Linked DNA regions of Mus musculus. The protein of the gene in region 1 interacts with the protein of each later gene in a pairwise test. Links are inferred from orthologs where the notes say so. Each region holds a gene or a part of one and is shown on either strand. Other genes may lie near its edges.

Region 1 (11,444 bases):
TCTTGGAAGTCAAAGGTCCCCACGTTTACATGCCTGTAATCCTATCCCTGGGGAAAAGCTGAGGCAAGGTTAGAACTTGTCTAAAAGCACCAAAGGGTGAGAGCAGCTTCCTCCAAACGTAAAAGCTACTCCACAGCATTTACTGGCTCTAAGACTCCATCCCAGCAATCAACTGCTTAGAAAATTAAGCAGCTTGCTGCCCACATAAGCTTTATTCCAGCATTCTTTAAATTCCAGGACTGTTTGTTTTCCTAAACACTACAGTTATTTTAATATTACTTCCAATAAAATCCTAGGGGATTAAATAATCAAGTTATTCCAGATAAAAAGAACCGACAACATTCTGTCTGCGAAGCCACAGGAAATCTGTGAGCTCACATGTTCCTGAATGGTGGATATCATGCTTGTCTGAAGCCACGAGCAAGCTGGCACTATCCTAGCAGTCACAGTTAGTCAGGTAAGCAATGGTCAATCCAGGATTCTTTCTGGCATCTTGTTCCCTCCCGGTGTCCTGCTGCATTTCTTGACAAATGTGCAGAACGAACTCAGGAATGGCAGTCAACACCCAGTAACCGTTGATTCGGAGACAACACAGAACTGCTTGTTCTGAGTATCTCAACTCCTGGCTCTTCTCAGTTAACTGCAACAGGGCACTATTCATAAGCTAAACAGTAGATGTTCTGAAATTAAACATTTGTTTTAGATCCTGAAGTATTTTAAGTAATAATTGAGGAGGGGAAAGTATCAGGTAAGGCTGGGGAGGCTCGGGGTTTAGACCACACTGTCCTTGCAGAGGACCAGGACCCACACCAGGGCTCAGCCTCCTGTAAATGCAATGCCAGAGGAGGTAACACTTCTGGCCTCCATGGGCTATGCACACCTGTGTGAATGAGCGCGCACAAACATACACATACATACATACATACATACACACACACACACTCTGAATTTTAGCAAATGTCATACAAGTGAAAGCAAGAGTAAGATCCCAGTTATCCTGGGTAAAGTCTTGATAACACTGCCTGGTAAAAGCCATTAAACCTCATCAAAAACAAATGTTTCTAGCGTGCTTACTGAATGCCAAGGAAGGCCCCACCAACCACATGGAGCCAGGCAGCTGTGTAACCTGAAGACGAGACAGTCTTCTCTGTCCTGCTGGGCATGGCGACCAACAATACACAGGTGACTACGTAAGAAAATGCTAACACGGGACAAACACATATTCGCAGGTTTCACTGAGTACTTGGAATTGGCAGAAGAAAACGTCGACAGCAGTATGTAATTTTCAAATTATTTCAACAAGCCGCTATTCAGGATCCCCCCCCAGAGAATCCAGAACAGCCAGGCACAATGTAGCAGACAAGCCTCTAGGCCAGAGAATTCAGAAAAGCAGGTCAAAGGTCACAGCTGAAAAGCTGTGAGAGGTGCCCGAGGCCCAGAGCAAACTGGGAATACCGAGGCTGCCTGGAAGAAAATGAATAAATCCTTCAACTACAACATTGGTTCTCAACCTGTGGGTCGATAGCTCTTTGGAGAGGCACACATTATCAGATATTCTGCATATCAGATACTTATGTTATGACTCATAAGAGTAGTAAAATTGTTATGAAGAAGCAACAAAACTAATTTAATGGCTGGGGAGTAACCACGACAGGAGGAACTGTATTAAAGGGTTGTGGTGTTAGGAAGGCTGAGAACCACTGCTCTAGAACAAGTTAAAGAGTGAGCCCAGGAGGGGATGGCTTCAGAAAGTCCTATCTAAGGTCATCAAAAAGGGGGAATGGCCCAACTGGACCGGTGAGTGGCAGTGGATGTCACTGGCGAGGGGAAGGTGTTACCAAGGAAGGAGACAGTTGAAGAGATGTTGTCACATTAAAAAGAGAAAGCCCCAGAGGCGCACCAGACACTGCCAGGGCCATTCCTGGTTTGCTAAGTCCCCTGCCTTGGTTTTCATGCCCTGTGTAAGCAGGGTCTCTAAACATTGGTGAAAACAACCCTCAACAGAAGCCACACAGAAACAAGTTCCTCTGTTTGCTCCTGGAGAGCTAAGAATGAAGTCTTGACTCCTACATAGAAATATGGAAATTCTGTTGCGGGGAGAAGAAAACAACAATAGAGAGGACTAGGAAAGGGTTCTTTTCATTCCTCCTTATGTCCCATAGGCCTCAGCACTGTTTAAAATACTACAGAAGGGGACTGAACACCATGTGACAGCCACTAGTCATTCTTGCCCACGGTGACCACACAGACCACCACCCAGCTTACATAAAACTCAGAACCAGTACTTAGAAAGACTAAAATGTACTGTGAAGTTAGCATAGATTATCTCCCTAGTCGACTCCCCCAGCACACCTGCACCCCAAACACAAGCATCTGGGGTACTCAGTTCAATAGCCTAGAGCACAAGGCCCTAGGGTCCTTAGCAAGAATCAGGATAACTAAAACCCTCCTGATGGAGAAGCACCTTGTGCTTCAGGTTATCCGTAAAGCATGCTTTCTTTTTTTTTTCTTTTCTGTTTTTCGAGACAGGGTTTCTCTGTATAGCCCTGGCTATCCTGGAACTTTGTAGACCAGGCTGGCCTCGAACTCAGAAATCCGCCTGCCTCTGCCTCCCAAGTGCTGGGATTAAAGGTGTGTGCCACCACGCCCAGCTGCGTGCCTTCCTTTTGCTGGTGCTGTGAGAAACACCCAGACAAAAGTAGCCCAAGGAAGGGTTTGTTTGCACTCAGGATCGGGGTTAGAGTCCAGCAGCAGCAGCAGCAAGAGCACAGGCAGTGGGAGAGTGAGGTTCACTGTGGCTTGACACCCTTCTCCAGTCACACAGTCCAGGATCTCAGGCAAGGAAGGCACCCACACTGGGGGAGGTTCCTGCCCACGTCAATTAATAGAGTCAAAGACAATCCCCTACAGGTGTGCTCAGAGTGATCCCAGATCCTGTCTAGGAGGCCACAAACACCAACTCTCACAGCACACTCATGCGCACGCGTACAGATGCATCTACGACTGCACTCAGTAAAGGTTTCTGTGTTCCACAGTAGCATTGTTATCTTCTTTTCAAAAAACATTCTGCTAAAACCACTTACCTTCTCCAATTTTCTCTATTTTGATATAGTCTTCCATAGTTACTCAACAGGTTACGACGGACCCTAAAATGAGGGGAAACAGTGCTGTGATTCCGTGCTACTAACTCAAAAACAGTCTAAGCATCATCTGGAAGACATCTTTTCCAGGGCCTCCCGCGTAGCCGGCAAACGTCAGTCATCCCAGATGGTCAGATGGTCTTGTTAGGGTTTAGCTGTTCTTGCAAGTGAGCCATTCTGAGCCTTCTCAGACACTGCGTTTGTATATTCTACACAGCCAAGGGCTTAGCCCCTTCACATGCACAAAGCAAGCAGGCCTGTCAAGCCGGCCACTGTGGAGACTGATACACAGCTAGCTAAAGCAACTTAGTGACACTATGTCTCAAAATTTACCAAAAAAAGCAAAAGGCCCTGATCCCCAGGGCTGAATTTCAGCACACTACTACCGTACTAAAATGGTGTACTGTTTTAGTTTTTCTTAAAATAATAAGAGTCTGCGAGAAGGAAGTTGTGCACGATGTAATCCTAGCACAGGGAAGAACAAGTTCAAGGCCAACCTGTGGCCTCGTTCGCTGCAACACTGTTTCAAAAGGAAACAAAGTACAACTGTAAAGTCCAACCACTAGGAATAACAGTTGTTGTTGTTGTTTTTAATAAAAGCATCTGTTTACCTTATAAGCATTCAATTCTCCAGGCAGTGGTGGCACATGCCATTAATCCCAGCACTTGGGAGGCAGAGGCAGGCGGATTTCTGAGTTCGAGGTCTACAAAGTGAGTTCCAGGACAGCCAGGGCTACACAGAGAAACCCTGTCTCGGGGGAAATAAACAAAAAACAAAAATCATTCAATTGAATGCTTCCCAAAAGCAGCCACAGACAATCCCACTCAAGGTACTCAAAGAGAAAGAAATGTCCATAAGCACCTTAGAAGAAAGAATGGAAGGTGTTGTGCTGTGCTGGCTAGCTTTAGGCCAGGTCACATTGTCACAAGCTGAAGTCATCTTGAGAGGAGAGAACCTCAGTTAAGAAAATGCTCCCATAGGATGGGGCTGGAGGCAAGTCTTTAGGTCAGTTTCTTAATTAGAGATTGATGGGGGCGGGCTCAGCCCGTTGTGGGTGGGGTCATCCGTGGGCATATAGGGTCCTGTGTTCTTAAAGCAGGCTGAGCAAGCTATGTGAAAGAAGGCAGGAAGCAGCCCCCTCCATGGCCTCCTGCCTCCAGGTTCCTGTCCAGACTTCCTCTGAGGCCGAACTGTGACGTGGAAGTACAAGACAACTAAACCCTTTCCTTCCCAAGTTCCTTTGCTTTGGTCATGGTGTTTCATCCCAACAACGCTAAGACAGTGTGTTTGCTAATCATGCTTTGAAAAATATCACGAACAAGGGAGAAACAATTTCTTGGCTCACAAAGAATGGTAGGAAAAAGGTGTGCCTTCTCCTTGAAAGCCCTCTGCCACGGGTGACAAGATCCTTATGAATGAGCATCAAGGAATGGCTGACCTCTCGTGAGCTGTTCCTTACAGATCTCTTTCCACAGTAAAATCAACTCCATGGGGTGTGGGGGCACAGCCAGGAATCCCAGCTCTTGGCACTGCACAAGGAGGCAGCGGCTCAACAGATAAAAATTCAGAAGGAAAATGTAAACCCGTCCAAGGGTCCTGCCAGGCATCCCACTGAACCCTGGGGATTCTCAGACACATAAGATTGACTCTCAACTATGGAGATTATGTTTAGGAAATTTCAACGCATCCCCCCCCAACCCCCTTTCTTCAATACAGAGACTTAATATAACTATAGAGCATTAAACGTTTCAACCACCTCTGCACAGACAGCAAAGAGTTAACATGTCTTGAAAGCTGGGCTTATTTCCTTCCAACATTTTCCAGTCTCCCGGGCCTGCTGTTAAAAGCTGCCCAGTGTATCCAAGTTGGGGGCAGGCGATGGTGGCCCGCACATCAGAACCTTCATCGGTATTTATGTTTTAAGACGATCAAGGACGCGAAGGCATCCGCGGTTCTCCCTCTCTCTCCTTCTTTGCCTGGGTACAGTCTGTGGCCTTAGCACAGGCAACTAAAAATAAACGATCCTACACTTTCTTGGTTCTGCACCTTGGTAGGAATAAGCTTTTTAAACGACCACGGGTCTGTTTCTCCGGCAGTACCGACTTAAGGCCTCCGAAGGCAGCTGGCCTGGTGCAGCCCAGCTCCACACTGGCAGCCAACAGGGCCTGGGACATAACTTGGCACCCCGCCCACACCCGGGCCCACTCCAGCGAGGCCCATCCAGTCTGCAGGAACCTGGAGCTCGCGTAGGGGCCTGCACGTCCGCAGGACCCGGGGCTCAAGTGAGCCTTGCCCTTCCATAAGGGACCGCTGGATCGGGTGAGCCCTGCCCCCCCCCCCCATAGGGATCCCAGGCTCCGGTGAGCCCTGCTCCTCCATAGTGTCCCCAGGCTCAGGTAGGCCATGCTCCTGCATAGGGGACCCTGGCCTCAGATGAGGACATGCTCATCCATAGGGTACCCCAGACCCCGGGCTCAGGGAGGCCATGCCCGACCATAAGGGATCCCGGACTTAGGTGAGGCCCTACCCGTCCACAGGAGACCAAGATCTCACGTGGAGGCCCTACCCGTCCACAAGGGATCCCCAGGCTCACATGGATGTCCTGCCCTTCCCCGGGGGAACCCCCAGATCCCGTGGAGCCCCCGCAGGCCCAGCCTGCACCCAGTCCGACTCACGCCATACCTCTCTGTCCCGGCTGGGGCCACACCGCAGTTCCGGACTGCGCGGACGCAGCAACTCCAGGAGCTTAGAGGCCGAGTGCCAGCAGTTTCAAACTCGCCGCGGTAAAGCTCCCGGGATCCGCCAATCCGATTGCACGTAGACGTTCAAAGGAGCCAATCAGAGCTGAGCTACGCTTGGGCGGGGCTGCCTGGGAGCGCAGAGCGCGAAAGGGAGCGGAAACCGCGGCCAGAGGAATTGCAGGAGGGCGGGCGCCAACTGACTCTTGAGCTCTGTTTTCCTTCCAATATCGTCCTGTTGTTTCTGGACAGTCTAATCTATTCTCTTTTTTCTCCAGCTACCTTTCTGTGTGTAATTTCCCTCCAAGACTAACACAATTCAAATGCATTGAATTTAGATAGCCAGCCACCAAAGTGACAGTACCACTACATCAAGAGCTTGTTATTAGCTGGGCGTGGTAGCACACACCTTTAGTCTCAGCTTTCGGGAGGCAAAGGCAGGGCAAATTTCTGAGTTCGAGGCCAGCCTGGTCTACAGAGTGAGTTCCAGGACAGCCAGGGCTACACATACAGAGAAACCCTGTCTCGAAAAACCAAAAAAAAAAAAAAAAAAAAAAAAGAGTTTCTTACTTTTATTTTGTTTTGTTTTGAGACAAGGTTTCTGGGTGTAATTTTGACTGACCTAGAACTTGCTCTGTAGACCAGGCTGGCCTTGAACTCACAGAGATCCTCCTGCCTCTGCCTCCAGAGTACTGGGGTTAAAGGCGTGTGCTGCCACCACCACCTGGCTATTGCTAACATTTAAAATTACTTTATGATTATGCCTTTCAAAATTCTATATTAAGCTGGGATAATATAAATAATATATAATATTAATATATAATATATTAGTTTACATATGTATGTGTGTATATATATGTGTGTGTGTGTGTATATATGTGTGTGTATATATATATATACATATATATATATATATATATCTGAGGATTGTGGCACACACCTTTAATATATGTATATATATAATATTAAGTTTCACTATGGAATTTTCAGACAATATTGGTCTGTGTTAATTCTTCTCATCCCTTCTCCCAGTAACCCTAGTCCCCGCACCTCGTAACTGCACGCCCCCAAGCCCATAGCCCTCTGTGTCCTATCACCATGTCCATGACTCTAATCCCCCCCCCCACTCGGGCAGCCTTTCCTTTCTAGTTGGAACCTTATATACACACTAACATATGAACATTACATGCTAGGATCCGCCTATGAGAAAGAACATGAAGTGTCTGTCTCTCTATGTCTGTGTCAGGTAACTTGATGTATTTTCCAGCTCTCCCGTGTTCCTGCAGATTATGTTTTTTTCAATGAGTTTTTAGCAGCCAGCAGAAGGATCACATTTAAAGTACCTTAAGAAGACAAGAGGATAGGAACCAATGAAACACTGAAAGACACCCTCAAAACTGAAAAGAAAAAATGCCAGCCTGTTTCTGTGATTATACACTTATGTATTCATTATGTATACAATGATAACACACTAAATGTTTTGACATATCTCCACATAAGAATGTTAAATATTGGGCTGAAGAGATGGCTCAGAGGTTAAGAGCACTGTCTGCTCTTCCTAGAGGTCCTGAGTTCAATTCCCAGCAACCACATGATGGCTTATAACCATCTATAATGAGATCTGCTGCCCTCTTCTTGTGTGCAGGCATACATGTGTGTAGAATACTGTATACCAAATAGATAAATCTTTTTTTTAAATGTTAAATATTCCTTAGAAATCAAACCTTCACAAATCTATGAACAAACAAAATGTCATCTGTTTTATCGGCTCTAAGTCAACACCAAAAGCTCTATCTTGCCACCACCCTCAGACCACATCCTTCAAAGAGGCTGTGCTCCACTTTGAAAAGATTCTCAACTCCTCAAGAAAATGAAGCAGTGTGGTGTGGGACCAGAGAGATGGCTCAGCCATTAAGAGCATTTGCGCACAATCATGAAGATGGGAGTTCAGATCCCTCCACCAACAAAACAAACCCAGCATCCTTGTAAATGCCTGTAACCCCAGCTCTGAGGGAGTCCACTCTGTCTTCTCATCTCCATAGGTTTGCATAGGTACTCGAATGCACACAACACACACACACATGTGCACACACACAGACATACACACATAATTAAAATAAACCCTTTTTAATAAAAAAAAAAGTGAAGCAGCATGACAGAGCTGAGGATAATGAGGGGCAGTCTAGGATGGCAGCTGTCTTTGCCTGGACTTCATAGGAGGAGGAAGGCACATCATATCCTCTTAGACAAGACTAATACAGGCTAGAAGACCTGCATCAGAATGAAGAATAAACTAGCTTATCGCATGGGAGCCCATGTCTGCTTCCCCCACTCCGTGATGGGTCTCTATTTGGCTTGACCCTATGCAGGTCTTGCGTGTGCTTCCACAGTCTCTGTGAGTCCAAGTGAGTCTCAAAGACATGGTTTCCTTAGAGTCATCCATCTCCTCTGACTCTTACAATCTTTTTGCCTCCTCTTCCGTATAGATCTGTGAGCCTTGAGGCTATGGGGGCTGATGAACACATCTCATTTAGGACTGGGTGCTCCAAAGTCTCTCACTATGGCCACATTGTCCAATTGTGAGTCTCTGTGTTAACTCCATCTCCCCATTCTGTGCAAGAAGCTTTTCTGATGTGGGTTGAGCTAGGCACTTATCTATGTGTATAGAAGTATGCTATTAGCAGTCATTTTATTGCTATGTTCCTTTAGCAGGATAATAGTATTTGGTTTCCCCCTAGGTCCATAACTTACCTAGTCTTAGGTCCTTGGTCACTTTCACAGTGTCAGATAAGAGATCCATCTCATGAAGTGGGCCTTCCGTCCTATCACAATGTAGTTACTTCCATAACATGTGTCACTCTTGTGCCACTGTGTCTTATAGACAGGTTACTGTTGTAGGTCACAGGGTTTGTAGCTGAGTAATATCATGTTCATTTAAAAACACAATACTGGGAGCTGGAGAGATGATTCAATAGCTAAGAGCGTTTATTGCTCTTTCAGGTGAGCCAGGTTTGATTCCCAGCACCAATATAGAGACTTCAAACCATTAGTCACCCCAGTTCCTGGAGAACCAATGTCCTTTTCTGACCCTCTAGGAAGCCAGGAATGACATGACACCCCAATGTACTTACAGGCAAAGCACTGACACATCTAAAGTTAAAAGAAACAAATGAAATTCTGTGGGGCATTGGGAAGACAAGTCCTCATAAAATAAAACTCTTTATTTCAAAAATTAATAAGTGTCTTAGTTAGGCATTCTATTGCTATGATGAAACACGTATGACCGAAAGCAAGTTGGAGATGAAAGGGCTTATTTGGCTTATATTTCTACATCATAGTCCATTATAGAAGGAAATCGGGATAGGATCTCAAACAGGGCAGGAGCCTGGAGCTGTTACAGAGGCCATGGAGGGGTGCTGCTTATTGGCTTGCCCTCCATGGCTTTGCTTAGCCAGCTTTCTTAGAGGAGCACCTGTCCCAGGAGAGCACCACCCACAATGGTCCGAGCCCTCCTACATCCTTAACTAATTAAGAAAATGCCCTATAGTCGGATATTATAAAGGTATTATCTTGAGGTTCCCTCTACTACCTGGTTTTGTGTCAACTTGACGCAAGCTGGAGATATCACAGAGAAAGGAGCCTTCCTTGAGGAAACGCCTCCATGAGATCCAGCTGTAAGGCATTTCTCACTTAGTGATCAAGAATGGGAAGGCCCATTGTGGGTGGTGCCATCCCCGGGCTGGTGATCCTGGATCCTATAAGAAAGCAAGCTGAGGGCTGGAGAGATGGCTCAGTGGGGAAGAGTACCGACTGCTCTACCGAAGGTCCTGAGTTCAAATCCCGGCAACCACATGGTGGCTTACAACCATCTGTAATGAGATCTGACGCCCTCTTCTGGTGTGTCTGAAGTCAGCTACAGTGTACTTATGTATAATAATAAATAAATCTTTACCAAAAAAAAAACCAAAAAACAAAAGAAAGCAAGCTGAGCAAGCCAGGGGAAGCAAGCCAGTAAGTAACATCCCTCCATGGCCTCTGCATCAGCTCCTGCCTCCAAGTTCCTGCCCTGTGTTAGTTCCTGTCCTGTGTTCCTTTGGTGATGAACAGCAATGTGAAGTGTAAGCTGAATAAACCCTTTCCTCCCCAACTTCCTTCTTGGTCATGATGTTTTTGCAGGAATAGAAACCCTGACTAAGACACTTCCTCCTCTCAGATAACTTTAGCTTGTGCCAAGTTGGCATCAAACTATCTAGCACAAGTAACAAAGCTATCACTGTGCCAGGGCACTTGCCCAGGATGCATAAGGCCCTCGTTGATTCCCAGCTCTGTAAGAAGAAAACAAGATTTAATCACACCTTTTATACATGGGGTTGCCACCATCGTCAGCCCCTATATGGATGTCCTGCCTTGACAATGGCTTGCTCTTCGGTGACAGTATTTGGGATTCATTGTGAAGTCAGGACACGGTGCCTTGCTGTAGTGTTTCCTTTTCGTTTTGCTCTTTGGCCTTGGGCATGCTTCTCAACTCTACCCCCATCCCTTCAATTTTTGTTTGATTGTCTTTTGAGACAGGGTTTCTTGGTGGAGACCTAGCTGTCGTGGAACTCACTCAATAGACTAGGCTGGCCTCAAACTCACAGAGCTCCGCCCACCTCCCTAAAAATTTTTATAATTCAAAATTTACTCATTGTGGTGGCTTGAATGAAAATGGTCCCACAAAAGGCTGATAGGGAGTGGCACTATTAGGAGGTGTGGCCTTGTAGGAGGAAGTGTGGCCTTGTTGGAGGAAGTGTGTCACTGTGGGGTTGGACTTTGAGGTCTCATATGCTCAAGCTATGCCCAGAGTGGCTCACAGTCTCCTGCTGCCTGCAAGTCTAGATGTACAGTTCTCAGCATCTTCTCCAGTATCATGTCTGCCTGCGTGCTGCCATGCTTCTTTCCATGACAATAATGGACTAAACTCTGAAAGTATAAGCCAGCCCTAATTAAATGCTTTTCTTTATTAGAGTTGCTGTGGTCATGGTGTCTCTTCACACTAAGACCCTTGTTAAATGAAAACGGATGGATCCAGAAAAGTGCTAGGGTGATGCAGGCTCTGTTCTGTTAGTCTAGTATACTGAGTGAGTGAGTGTGTGTGAGTGAGTGTGTGTGTGTGTGTGTGTGTGTGTGTGTGTGGTGTGGGTGTATAGTATGACACATGTATGGGATCATGTGGATCTGTGTGTGTAGTGTGACAGATGTCAGATGTAAGGGATCATGTGGATCTGTGTGGGTATTGTAACACATGTATGGGATCATGTGGATCTGTGTGTATGTGTGTGGTGTGACACATGTATGGGATCATGTGGATCTGTGTGCATGTGTGCGTGTCTGTGGGTGTTATGCTGGTATGTCTGGGTATGTAGAGGCTAGAGGTCAATATTAGGTATCATTTCCCCACTGTTCTCTTCTTACTTTGGATTTGGAGTCTCCCAATGAATCGCAGATTGTGCTACACTGGCCAGACATTGAGCTCAGGAATCTGCCAGTCTGGTTGCTAAGATTACAGGGTTTCTCTGTGTAGCC
Region 2 (10,827 bases), on another chromosome or scaffold:
AGCAGAGGCAGGTGGAACTCTGAGTTCAAGGCCAGCCTAGTCTACAGAGCAAGTTCCAGGACAGCCAAGGCTACACAGAAACCCTATCTCAACAAACAAACAAACAAAAACAAAAAAAAAATGCTTCTGAGAGAAACAGTAATGCCCAAAATGGTATATTTAATAATTAATCAGTAAATTAAATCCTACTTAATACTGGTCACGATGATGGGCCTATTAGCAGACCATTTAAATAAAAGCTGTATCAGTATAACTATTTCTACCTGACATACATGACTTAAGGGAGGAAGGTTCATTTTAGCCCATCATTTTTGATATTTCCATCCACTGTAGCAGGGGGCAGGTACATGGGGGGACACAGGAACTCTGACCATGGTTGCCAGGAAGCAGAGTAGAATGGTAACATGAAGTAGCCAGGGAGGGACATACCCCAACATGTTTTCCAGTCAGCCAAGCACTCCTCCCCCTCACCTTCCATAGTCTGTTCTTTAGGTTAGGACCTCCAGGACTGGTGCACCTTGCCAGTCCCTTAGGCAGTTCTTGGTGCAGTTAGGTGGACCATCGTCAATCAGTTCCCAAGTCATGGCGTGAGACTTATGATCACGCCAGGGTGTCTGCAACCAGCAACTAAACCGTACCTCTCATCCCCATAAAGCCAGTAGTCTTACCAGGATATGGCTTAACTCATGTCCCAGCACCGAAAATTAAACTTCTGATCCCTTTCCCTCCACAGGAAGAGTGAGGACTGAGTATTGTCTTTTACTCTGTCATCAAATAAGTATTACCTTTTATTCAAAACTAAGTCTAGTTTTCCATCCCAGCTGTTGTTTCTATGATGGCGCTGGCCTTTCTCAGTACTCATCTCCTGACACACAGGTGGGGAGCCTCTGTCCGTGGGTACTGTAAACTAGGACTGTGAGGTCTAGAAACATTTTCCATTTTAATCAAAAGTATTCACAATAAAGAATGGTATCCTGTTCTCTTCATATGAAATTATATCTATAAGGCGATTTTACCCAGAAAAGTTTAACACTGCAAAATTAATATTAAGATGGAATTTTCCAGTTCATTCAACTAAGGTTACTATTGACTGAGTACCTCCGCTTCTGAAATCTCAAATAGCCCAAGTGCAAAACTTTCGTGAGAATCACACAAACACTTGAGAAGATATTTTTATTTTGAGAATTTTGACTTTTAGGTATTCAAATTGGGATGTTCAGTTGGTCAGGTCTATGCAATCCTTCTAGCATCTTGAAACTGAAAAGCATTTGGCCCTAAGCTTTTGGGATCATACCACAGGGTTGCTGGCTCTACCTGTAGAGTGTTCAGGAACCATTACCTTCATGGTAAACTCTCAACTTGCTCTTTTAGATTTACTTGGCATTAAAGTAGGTCAGTCCCCATTTCCGTACTTTTGCTCACTGCAGGCCTTCCCTGATCCCCACGCTAACTATGGACTGGTGCTTTGTGACTGCTGTAGATGTTAATGCAGCCTTCCTTACTCTGGGGCAGATGCTCTTGTTGGGCAGGCTCAATTTCCATTTGTACAATTTTAAAAACTAAGCTTGATAAATTTCCCTTCACAGGCTACCTCTGTCGCGAGTGAATTGTTCCCAGTTTCTCGGTTTATGTGCTCTTCCAGGTAGGTGAGAACACTCGATGGCTTCCTACTAATATGAGGGCAGATCTTGGTGAGCTGACGGGTGGCTCAGTGCATACAGACCGGTGAGCTTGTTTAGAGAAGCCTTCAGGAACACCTTCTGCATCCAGGGCTACATTTCTAACTTTCCCAATTCAGTGGTACAAATGAGGTTAAGACCATGGCCAGGAACTCCTGCTCCTGGACTCCTTTAGTGAAATTTACCAGTCTCCACAGCTATGTTTCTAAGAGTCAGAAATTAATATGTACAGTTAAAATGGAATTGAAACATGAATAGCCATGTAAAATGACTTTTTACAGTAGCATGTACATATGTTCAAATATGCTTTCTTATACAACTGATTGTAAAAAACTGATTATAAACAACTGATTCGTTTTTTTACTTGCCTTATCTATAGGTTGTAAGTTTAAAGATGTTAGAAGAAATATTCAGAAAGATACAGGTAGGTTCACTGTGACAAAAGCCTACTACTAGTCTTGTTTTAAGCCTGAAATCTGTCAAACTGTATTCTCTTCTCAATATATAAAATAAATTCTTTTGGCATCTCTGTGAACTTCTCGAATGTGAAGAGGTATCTGTAACAGGCCGAGGAGTCATCATTTACATGAACACAACTTTTTCGCAGTCCTAGTTATACACACATGGCAGACTATGTCTGTTTGAGGGAGAAAAGTATGTAAATAGAAAACCTGCCTTTGACCCCAGCAAAGAGACAGGCAGATATCTGTGTATTCAAGGCCAGCCTGGCCTCCACAGCAAGCTTCAGGCCAGCCAGAGGATAGCAAAAACAAAAAGGACAAAAAGAGACTAATCCTTGAATTGACCCTTGTGGAATTTACAAATATGTCCTGCATTTGGTACACATACAACGATAGTAGTTAGCTTACATGTTTCATTTGGAGGACATGTAAGTTATAAGCAATACTATTTAAATCATTGGTTCAGAACTACTATTACACATTTTAGAATTTCCTATTTATTTAGCAGCTTTTATAAAAAGAAGATTCTAGTTTTTTCATTAACTTTTTTTTTTTTAAACAATGAAGTCACACATAAAATCCATTATATAGAACAGATCAAAATACCTGGTGAGGAAGACCTAGAATGTCCCTGAAAGCCACCATACAGCGGACAGAAGACATTATAGAAAATTACTCCCTCTTCTGAAAGCTTTACTAACTTAACTACATGTTAAAATTATTTTACAATTGTAAAAATATACAATGTTTAGGCCACATTGCCTTCATTTCCACCTTCCTTCTCTCTTTAGATCTTTTCCTTCCCCCACATAATCTCTGTTCTACTTTCCTATCATATATATTATCTATATTACATTATATATTACTAGGAATATCATATATATATAATACACACACACATATATATATCTCCACACGAGAGAAAATATAAAATCATGCAAATTATTAGTAAAATCATTTTGATCTTTATTCTCTTTGCCGTTAAAACAAGGTGTATGAAGTGTACTTCAACTGACAAAACTTTGTACTTAGACTAGATGAATGTTGACAGTTGGGGCTGGGAATTATTTATTTTGAAATGAATAATCCAGAATGAATAGTGCCGTAAAGAAGGTCCAGAAGCTAGAGAGTGGTTAAAAGTGGGTGCTGCTTTTGCAGATGACCAGTATTCAGTTCCCAGAGCCCACATCGGGTAGCTTAGGACTACCTGTAACCCCAGATCCCAGAGATCCGAAGCCCTCTGGCCTCCACAGGCACCTGCACACACGTGCATTTACCCCCATCCTGACATACATTTATATGCACAGTTAAAAAAGGAAAATCTTGGGCTGGAGAGATGGCTCAGGGGTTAAGAGCACTGACTGCTCTTCCAAAGGTCCTGAGTTCAAATCCCAGCAACCACATGGTGGCTCACAACCATCCATAACGAAATCTGATGCCCTCTTCTGGAGTCTCTGAAGACAGCTACAGTGTACTTACATATAATAAAATAAATAAATAAATAAATATTAAAAAAAAAGAAAGTCTTTTTTTTTAAGTTCCAGGATAAAATCTTATAAAAATACTTCTTGGTTCCCACTATTAAGATGAAAAGAGCTAAACCATATAAGGTTAGTGCAGCTAATGTCTTACTTTCTCGAGACCTAGTCAACAGAAGTAAATCCACATTAGTGTGGCACGGCACAGAACAGGGGAAGAACACAAGAGCTATGGCTAGAGATAATGTGATGCTTGCCTGAGTGTCAACATGACTGATTTCATAGGGCTAGGAGAGACTTAAAAATGATGCTATCTATTCCTTCTCAAGAGTTTAAATGTTAAGACAGTATTTATTGCAAGGGGGAAAAAAAACCTAAGTTTTTATGCAAAAATATCAATAACATCAGCCAATCACTTAAAAGCATTTTACTCACCAATCAATCTGGTTTAGTTCTAATCAGCTTTTGTTCCAGGTATTTTCATTAGGTATTTCACATTTACAAAGTTGCACCTGTTACTAGTTTGGTTGAAGAACATAACTCCCTATTCTCTCTCTTGATCGTATTTAAATGTGTCCTGTTTTATGCACGCGTCTGTGTGTGTCTTGGTCTGTTGGCAGAAGAACTAAAGAGCTACGGGATCCAAGACGTGTTTGTTTTCTGCACCAGAGGGGAGCTGTCAAAATATAGAGTCCCAAACCTTCTGGACCTCTACCAACAATATGGAATTGTCACCCATCATCATCCGATCCCAGATGGAGGGACTCCCGACATTGGCAGCTGCTGGGAAATCATGGAGGAGCTGGCCACCTGCCTCAAAAACAACCGGAAAACCCTGATACAGTACGTTCTTCCCTGGGTACCACACAGCAGCTCTCCCTCCTCTGCCGTCAGGACAAAGCCAATGCATGAGAAGAGCACGACAGGCCTGGGACCGAGGAAGGAAGCACTCATGAACTTCCTGCTTCCACACTTCAAGGGTACTACTGGCCACAAGCAGAGCTGCGAGTGTTTAGAGTAGAGACATTTCTCCTTTCCTCCTGTGGCATTGCTCCTGGTCTGTCGTGTCTCTTAACTTGTCATCTCAGCCTTTTCAGTAGCAAGGAAGTCACTTGCTTGTCTTTCAAAATTCACAGAAAAAAAAATTCCCTATTCAGTAAGTGGTCTTTTGAAATATGACTTCAATGGGCTATTAAGAGCATCAGTTGGCAAAGTGCTTGCCACTGAGGTATGAGGGCCTGAGGCTGACCCCAGCACCCATGAAAAAGCCTTGCATGGTAGAGTCCCATAAAAAACAGCATACCCATCATGAGGTAACCCAAAGGCAAAATTTCAGAATACACAACTGTGTATAATTTCTTTGTAAGTATATGTAAAATAGTATCAGATGTAGCTATTTAAAAAATAAGAGTGTTTAGGCCCATTTTTTGAAACAGATTCTAAACTTGTTTTTCAAAGATCCTAAAGCAACTTGTATCTTTGCAGATATCAAGGCAGTTGAGTTTAGTAAGGCTCAGGAAATTCTACCCCAAGCAGGTTCCAGCAGCCAAACTTCCTACCTGATGCTTAAACAGAAAAGCTCGGCGGATGGGTGATCCTGGATTGGGAGAACGCGTCAGGCTCCCCTAAGTGGTGGCTGACGGCTGGGCTTTTCCCTATTTCCCTACAATATGCTTTTGAGGATCTTTGAAGGTGATTTAAAGGAATGTTTTCCAGCTTTGATCGTTGTTTTCCTGGAAGGTGTAGTTTTGCAGAACTGTTTGGTGGTAGGCCATTTCCACTAGCATTCAGAGGTTTCTCTCTCCAGCCTGTGTTCTGAGCCCTTTATAAACACTGCCACGTGCAACGCTCACTCTGATACAGGTTCTATTAGTAACACCATCTCACAGATAAAAGAAAGCAAGCTCGAGGACCTTGGCCAGTGTCAGGACCCGAGCCCAGTCCTTTGTGACTACCTCTGTGCTTGCATCAGGGGAAGGAAGGATGATTGTATGTTGGCACTTGCTCCAGAACTACTCAGATTTTACCAAAAGGACAGAGTCTTGATTCCTACTTGTTCCGCTTCTCAGATGTAGGGTTTGGGGTTCAGTAGTCACTAAGGCCCTCTTTGACCCTTAGAGGAATTCAGAACACCTGACAACATGAATGAGCATGTACTGCTTCTGGTGATAACTCAGCAATGCTGATCTGAGTGCAAGGTGCTGTACCCAGAGTTGGAGAGGTAAACAGAAGGCAGAGAGAGTAAGTCTTGAGTTGTAACTTGGGAGAAAACGAAAATAAACAAACTTCAAAACTCTCTTTCCCTTTCAGTTGTTACGGAGGACTTGGAAGATCCTGTCTTGGTAAGAAATATATTTTCATTAACTGTTTAACTTCAAAGTAGGCAACTCCTGTTTGGGGACCTTACCTCACGCTATATAGAGAGGAGAGAAAAACCACAATATAAGTTTACCAAACCCAAACAAAGAAGGAATAATAGCAACGAAGTATAGTTATTTACTGTCTGTTAATTTTAAAGAGTGCTGCCAAAAAACAAAACAAAAAAAACAAGAAATGCCTCACTGTAGTAATTATTATAAAACAGTATAAACAAGATCCAAATTAACAACCTTTGTAAAAGAAAGAACATTGTCAAAATGAAAGGCCATATATAGAATAGGAAAAGAAAAATTGCACACCATGTATTTGATAAGGGAATATACAACTCAGTATACATAGACCAACGTGGCAATTTTAAATAGTGAGCAAAGGATCTGAGGAAACATGTCCCCAAAATACACAGGCAGACAGCACGGAAAGCGATGCCCCACAATGGCAGCCTGCAGGGTGGCTGTGGTGTGCAAAATCAGTGAGCAGCCCTAGAACCAGGAACCTGTGCTGCTGCTGCTGCTGCTGCTGCTGCTGCTGCTGCTGTTGCTGCTGCTGCTGCTGCTGCTGCTGCTGCTGGGAATGCAGCACAGTGCAACTGCTCTGCAAAGCTCTTCTTTTCCTCAGCTCCAGAGTTACCATGCCTCAAAACTCCACTCCTAGCTCCAGACCCAGGAGAAACAGAGCACACATTCACACAGAAATGTGTGGGCCACTGCTTATAGCAGCTGTGCGGCTAGACGAGGCTAACTTTCGGGAGTGCAGGATAAAGGGCCTCAGTCTTTTATCTTTCAGTCCGTGTGCTCACACTGGATGGAGTTTGCTGCAACGGAAGTCCAACTGACTATCAAGTCTGCAACAAAATCAAGCCAGTTTCTTAATAGTCCGTTCTTTTCTGTCATGTTCTCAGTAGCTGCTTGTCTCCTCCTATACTTGTCTGACTCAATCTCACCACAGCAAGCCATAGACAGCCTTCGAGATGTCAGAGGATCTGGGGCGATACAGACCATCAAGGTAAGAACTGGGCTGTTCTGTCTGCTGCATTGGTGGCCTCTTTCAAATACAATGCAATGGGTGTAAGAGAGCCATAAGCTCAATTTCCAAAGCTGTGATGCACATGCACACACACGTGTATACACACACACACACACACGTGTACACACACACACACACACACGTGTACACACACACAGGTTTATCTTTTCTACTTACAATTAAATTCTGCACTTTACCCTCTTAGGGATCTGCGATTGTTCAGCCTCTGTCCCAGTCAGTACCCATGCTGATGCTCAGACTCAGCCAGGAAATGGCTACTATAAACATTTTTCTTGGGTGGAGTTGTATCCCAAGCAATTTATACACCCTACTGTGCCGCTGAGATGTTGATGAATGCTGTCAAAACAGTAGAGCAATACTTTATTGTACGTTGCCATGGATACTGGATACCTTCCATTCTCCTAAACACTTGAGCAACAGGGCAGCAGTACCACAGGCTGTGACAAATCATGTTACCCAAGCCCACTGATGACACTGCTTGTGCACGCCTCTAAAGTTCATGTCTTACTGTGCCAGGTGCTCTGTCTAAGCTTTAGGTTGTCACCAGAGTGGTACTCAGGAGCCCTCACCCTTGGCTGCCTGACTCTGAGTCTGCCTCCCTGGGGTTAGAGGTCTAGTCCAGCTTCAAGTACCAAGACTTACTATACATTCACCCTTACCAGCCAAGCAACCCGCCTCTCAAGGTTTAAATATAGCCACTCACAAAATAAACCTTACCTGATGCACTTCTCTACACAGGCTCTGAAACTAGAGCTCCCTTTATTCTGTTAACATCAAATGCTTCAAATTTAGGAAGTTCCTCTTTCAAACAAAATCCAATCAGATAGGTATGAATTATACATGTGTCACATCTTCCGTGTCACCGAGAATGGAAGCCACACTAATATGGGTGTTGGGCCCATTACCTAGGTATTTTGTGGCTAAGGGGCCCTCACCACCTCTCCCAAGGAAAGCTAGCAGTACAGTTCATTATCAGGAATGATGGCTGTCAGAGCTATCTTTTGGAAAGATATTTAAACTTCAATAAACTGCTTAAAGTACTTAGCTTATCTATATAGTGGTTTGTTTTTTTAATTTTTTATGAAAATTATTCCAAATGGACTGTCATCAAAAGCACCAGTCACTCTTAGACTGTGTCATTGTTGTTACAAAGAATGCCCTCCTCAGTGTTCAGTGGGGGAAAAACACCAGCAGAAAGGTAGGCCCTTCCACACTGGACAGCAGATTCACTTTGAATCTTAGTCCCAGCAGCAAAGGACGGAGTCTACAGAATCTGCCCCTCCCACGCCTCCCGCAGCCAGCATCTCCTCCCCTTCCCAAGTCCAATTAAAGGTTCAGAAACATTTGCTCTTAGCTAAGTATGGAGTCTACACTGATCCTACTTTTCTGCGGTATATTCAACATATCTTTACTCTTTTTCAGCAATATAACTATCTTCATGAATTCCGGGATAAATTAGCTGCGTATCTATCATCAAGAGATTCACTATCAAGATCTGTGTCCAGATAATGAAGATCCCAAATAAACGAGCACATCTAGGGTCTCCAAGTTCTCCAGCATAGTCTGTATTGGAGCACACTGCGAGTGCTGCCACCATCGTGAACATAAGTGTTCTGTACAGATCCTCCTAATGCTTGAGTCATGAATTCGGTGTTGTATCACAGCAGAGGGCAGCAGACCTGGTACACTGTTGTCCAGCTAGACATACACTGGCTGTTCCATCTTACCTAGAGACAGTGCCAGGGAAGATGAATACTGAGGTGGCACAGTTTGCCACACTTCGGCCTCATTTGACTATCAGTACTAGGCACGTACATAGTGATAAAAATCAAGTGTTTGGTTGGGCAGTGCTAGCATACACCTTTAGTCCCAGAACTCAGAAAGGCAGGTGGATCTCTGAGTTCAAGGCCAGTCTGGTCTACAGCTTGAGTTCCAGGACAGCCACAGTGCTACACAGACAAATACTGTCTAGAAAAAAGAAAAGAACTTCCTGTAAGCACACTCGTATCTAACTTTAATGTGTATATACTTATGTGGGCACAACCACAACAGTTCATGCGGAGGTCAGAGGACAACATGCTAGAGTCAGCTCTCCACTTTCAGCACACGGGCTCCAGGATTAAATTCAGGTCATTGAGCTTGCTGGCCAGTGCTTTTATCAACTGAGCCTTCTCACAAGCAGACCCTGCTTCCTACTTTTCAGTAACTCTTACCCTCTTCTCCCCTGAAGATCTGATTTTTTTCTACTTCACTGACTTACAGAATTATAAGGGACTGTGAGTTTTAGAGTCATCTCCCTCCCAGAGCACCAGCACAACGCACCACCAAAAGATAGGCTCTTACTACATAGACCAAGTTAGTCTTGAACTCACAGAAATCCACCTGCCTCTGCCTCCCAAGTGCCAAGATTAAAGGCATATGTCACCATGCCTTGCCAGCTTCTAGAAGATTCTTATGAGAATACTAAGAAAGATGGGAGAATCACACACCACTAGTATCTAATGTTTAAGCCAGGGACTCAAATCAATCTCAAATGTTTGAGGCTTTGTTTTAGTACAGGCTACAATTATAGACTGGCCTTCACAATTCTGCTATTCCAATCAATTTTAAAATCACAGTACTTACGACGTTTTAGATAGTCACTGAAACTGGCACTAGCAAATCTCTATGTGGGCATGTGTATGGATATATATGGAAATCAGAGGTTCCTCAAGACCTGTCCACTGTGCTTTTTGAGATAGGGTCTCTCATTTGCTGGAGCTTACCAAGTAGGGTAGACTGTCCAGGAGCCGCAGGACCCTCCTGTCTCCAAGTCCCCAGCACTGGGACTACAAATACACATCAGACTTTTATGTGGGTATAAGGACCAAATACAGGCTCTCATGCTAACTCTACCCAACTGGACTCCCTCCACACCAGCAAATCCCGGTCACTCCCATCCAGTATAACACTTATGAGTACTTATGGAGGAAACATTTCATCTGCAACTGGATTTTCAGAGTATGCACCTCTCCGTTCCCACTGCAAGTGTCTTGTTAATCTGCTACAGTCAAAATGCTTGACTAAAATTTTAAAATCAAGCATACAGGAAAACCTTTAATTATCAGCAAAGGGAAATACGTTATTAGTCCTGAAACACACTTGTGTACTGAACTTTAAAGACTTGCAATGCAAACATTCTAAGGAAAGTATTTTTTCTGCCCAGACTATGATGTCCTGAAAGCAGTGCAGGCAGAGAAGGCAGACAATACAGGGACCTGGTCTTGTGCACGCCAATGTTAGCTGCATTTGAAATTGGCACAGACTCAACCACCACCCATCAATTACACAGGGAGTGCCTGAGGCAGATTTTATTAAATAGGCAAAAGCAAAAGGAGGAAGCTCTCAGGAGTAGGACAGGGCTAAGTAGAGAGTGTTCTTTGGACAGTAGTATAGCACTGACAAGCTTAGATTTTAACAAACCATGCACTACACAGCTAACTATATTTCACGATTTTCCGTGTTTTTCTAAGTTTTAGCATCTACTCAGTCATCGATCCATTTAAGAAACTCTCATTGCCAGAATACATGAGCATAATAATCAAACACATCTGTACAGTGAGTGGCACTGACATCTGGGAGACAGCCATTCTTCTGCATGTCTTCTACAATGTGTATCAAGAAAGTGAACGTAGAACAAAACCCTCGCACTACCTCAGACCCACTGCCTTGTGGCTAATACTTTGCAAAGTAAATGGAATAAAAGCTGTTATATACATTCCTTTCAGGTACTAGGTGGAGACACCT

Evidence for each region.
Region 2: the proteins of Cdk1 (region 1) and Cdkn3 interact in a two-hybrid assay, tested with the Homo sapiens proteins (2 studies listed by BioGRID and IntAct). The link is inferred for Mus musculus from reciprocal best matches to the Homo sapiens genes CDK1 and CDKN3.

Annotation. Positions count from the first base shown.
Region 1 is NC_000076.6:69,347,013-69,358,456, forward strand, and holds the start of Cdk1 (cyclin-dependent kinase 1), read right to left. Parts: upstream 5,901-11,444; 5' UTR 5,824-5,900; intron 3,147-5,823; 5' UTR 3,121-3,146; coding exon 3,084-3,120; intron 1-3,083. UniProt on the Homo sapiens protein: Plays a key role in the control of the eukaryotic cell cycle by modulating the centrosome cycle as well as mitotic onset; promotes G2-M transition via association with multiple interphase cyclins.
Region 2 is NC_000080.6:46,762,938-46,773,764, forward strand, and holds the end of Cdkn3 (cyclin-dependent kinase inhibitor 3), read left to right. Parts: intron 1-1,586; coding exon 1,587-1,642; intron 1,643-2,058; coding exon 2,059-2,103; intron 2,104-4,238; coding exon 4,239-4,461; intron 4,462-5,928; coding exon 5,929-5,960; intron 5,961-6,895; coding exon 6,896-6,999; intron 7,000-8,463; coding exon 8,464-8,550; 3' UTR 8,551-8,584; downstream 8,585-10,827. UniProt on the Homo sapiens protein: May play a role in cell cycle regulation. Dual specificity CC phosphatase active toward substrates containing either phosphotyrosine or phosphoserine residues. Dephosphorylates CDK2 at 'Thr-160' in a cyclin-dependent manner.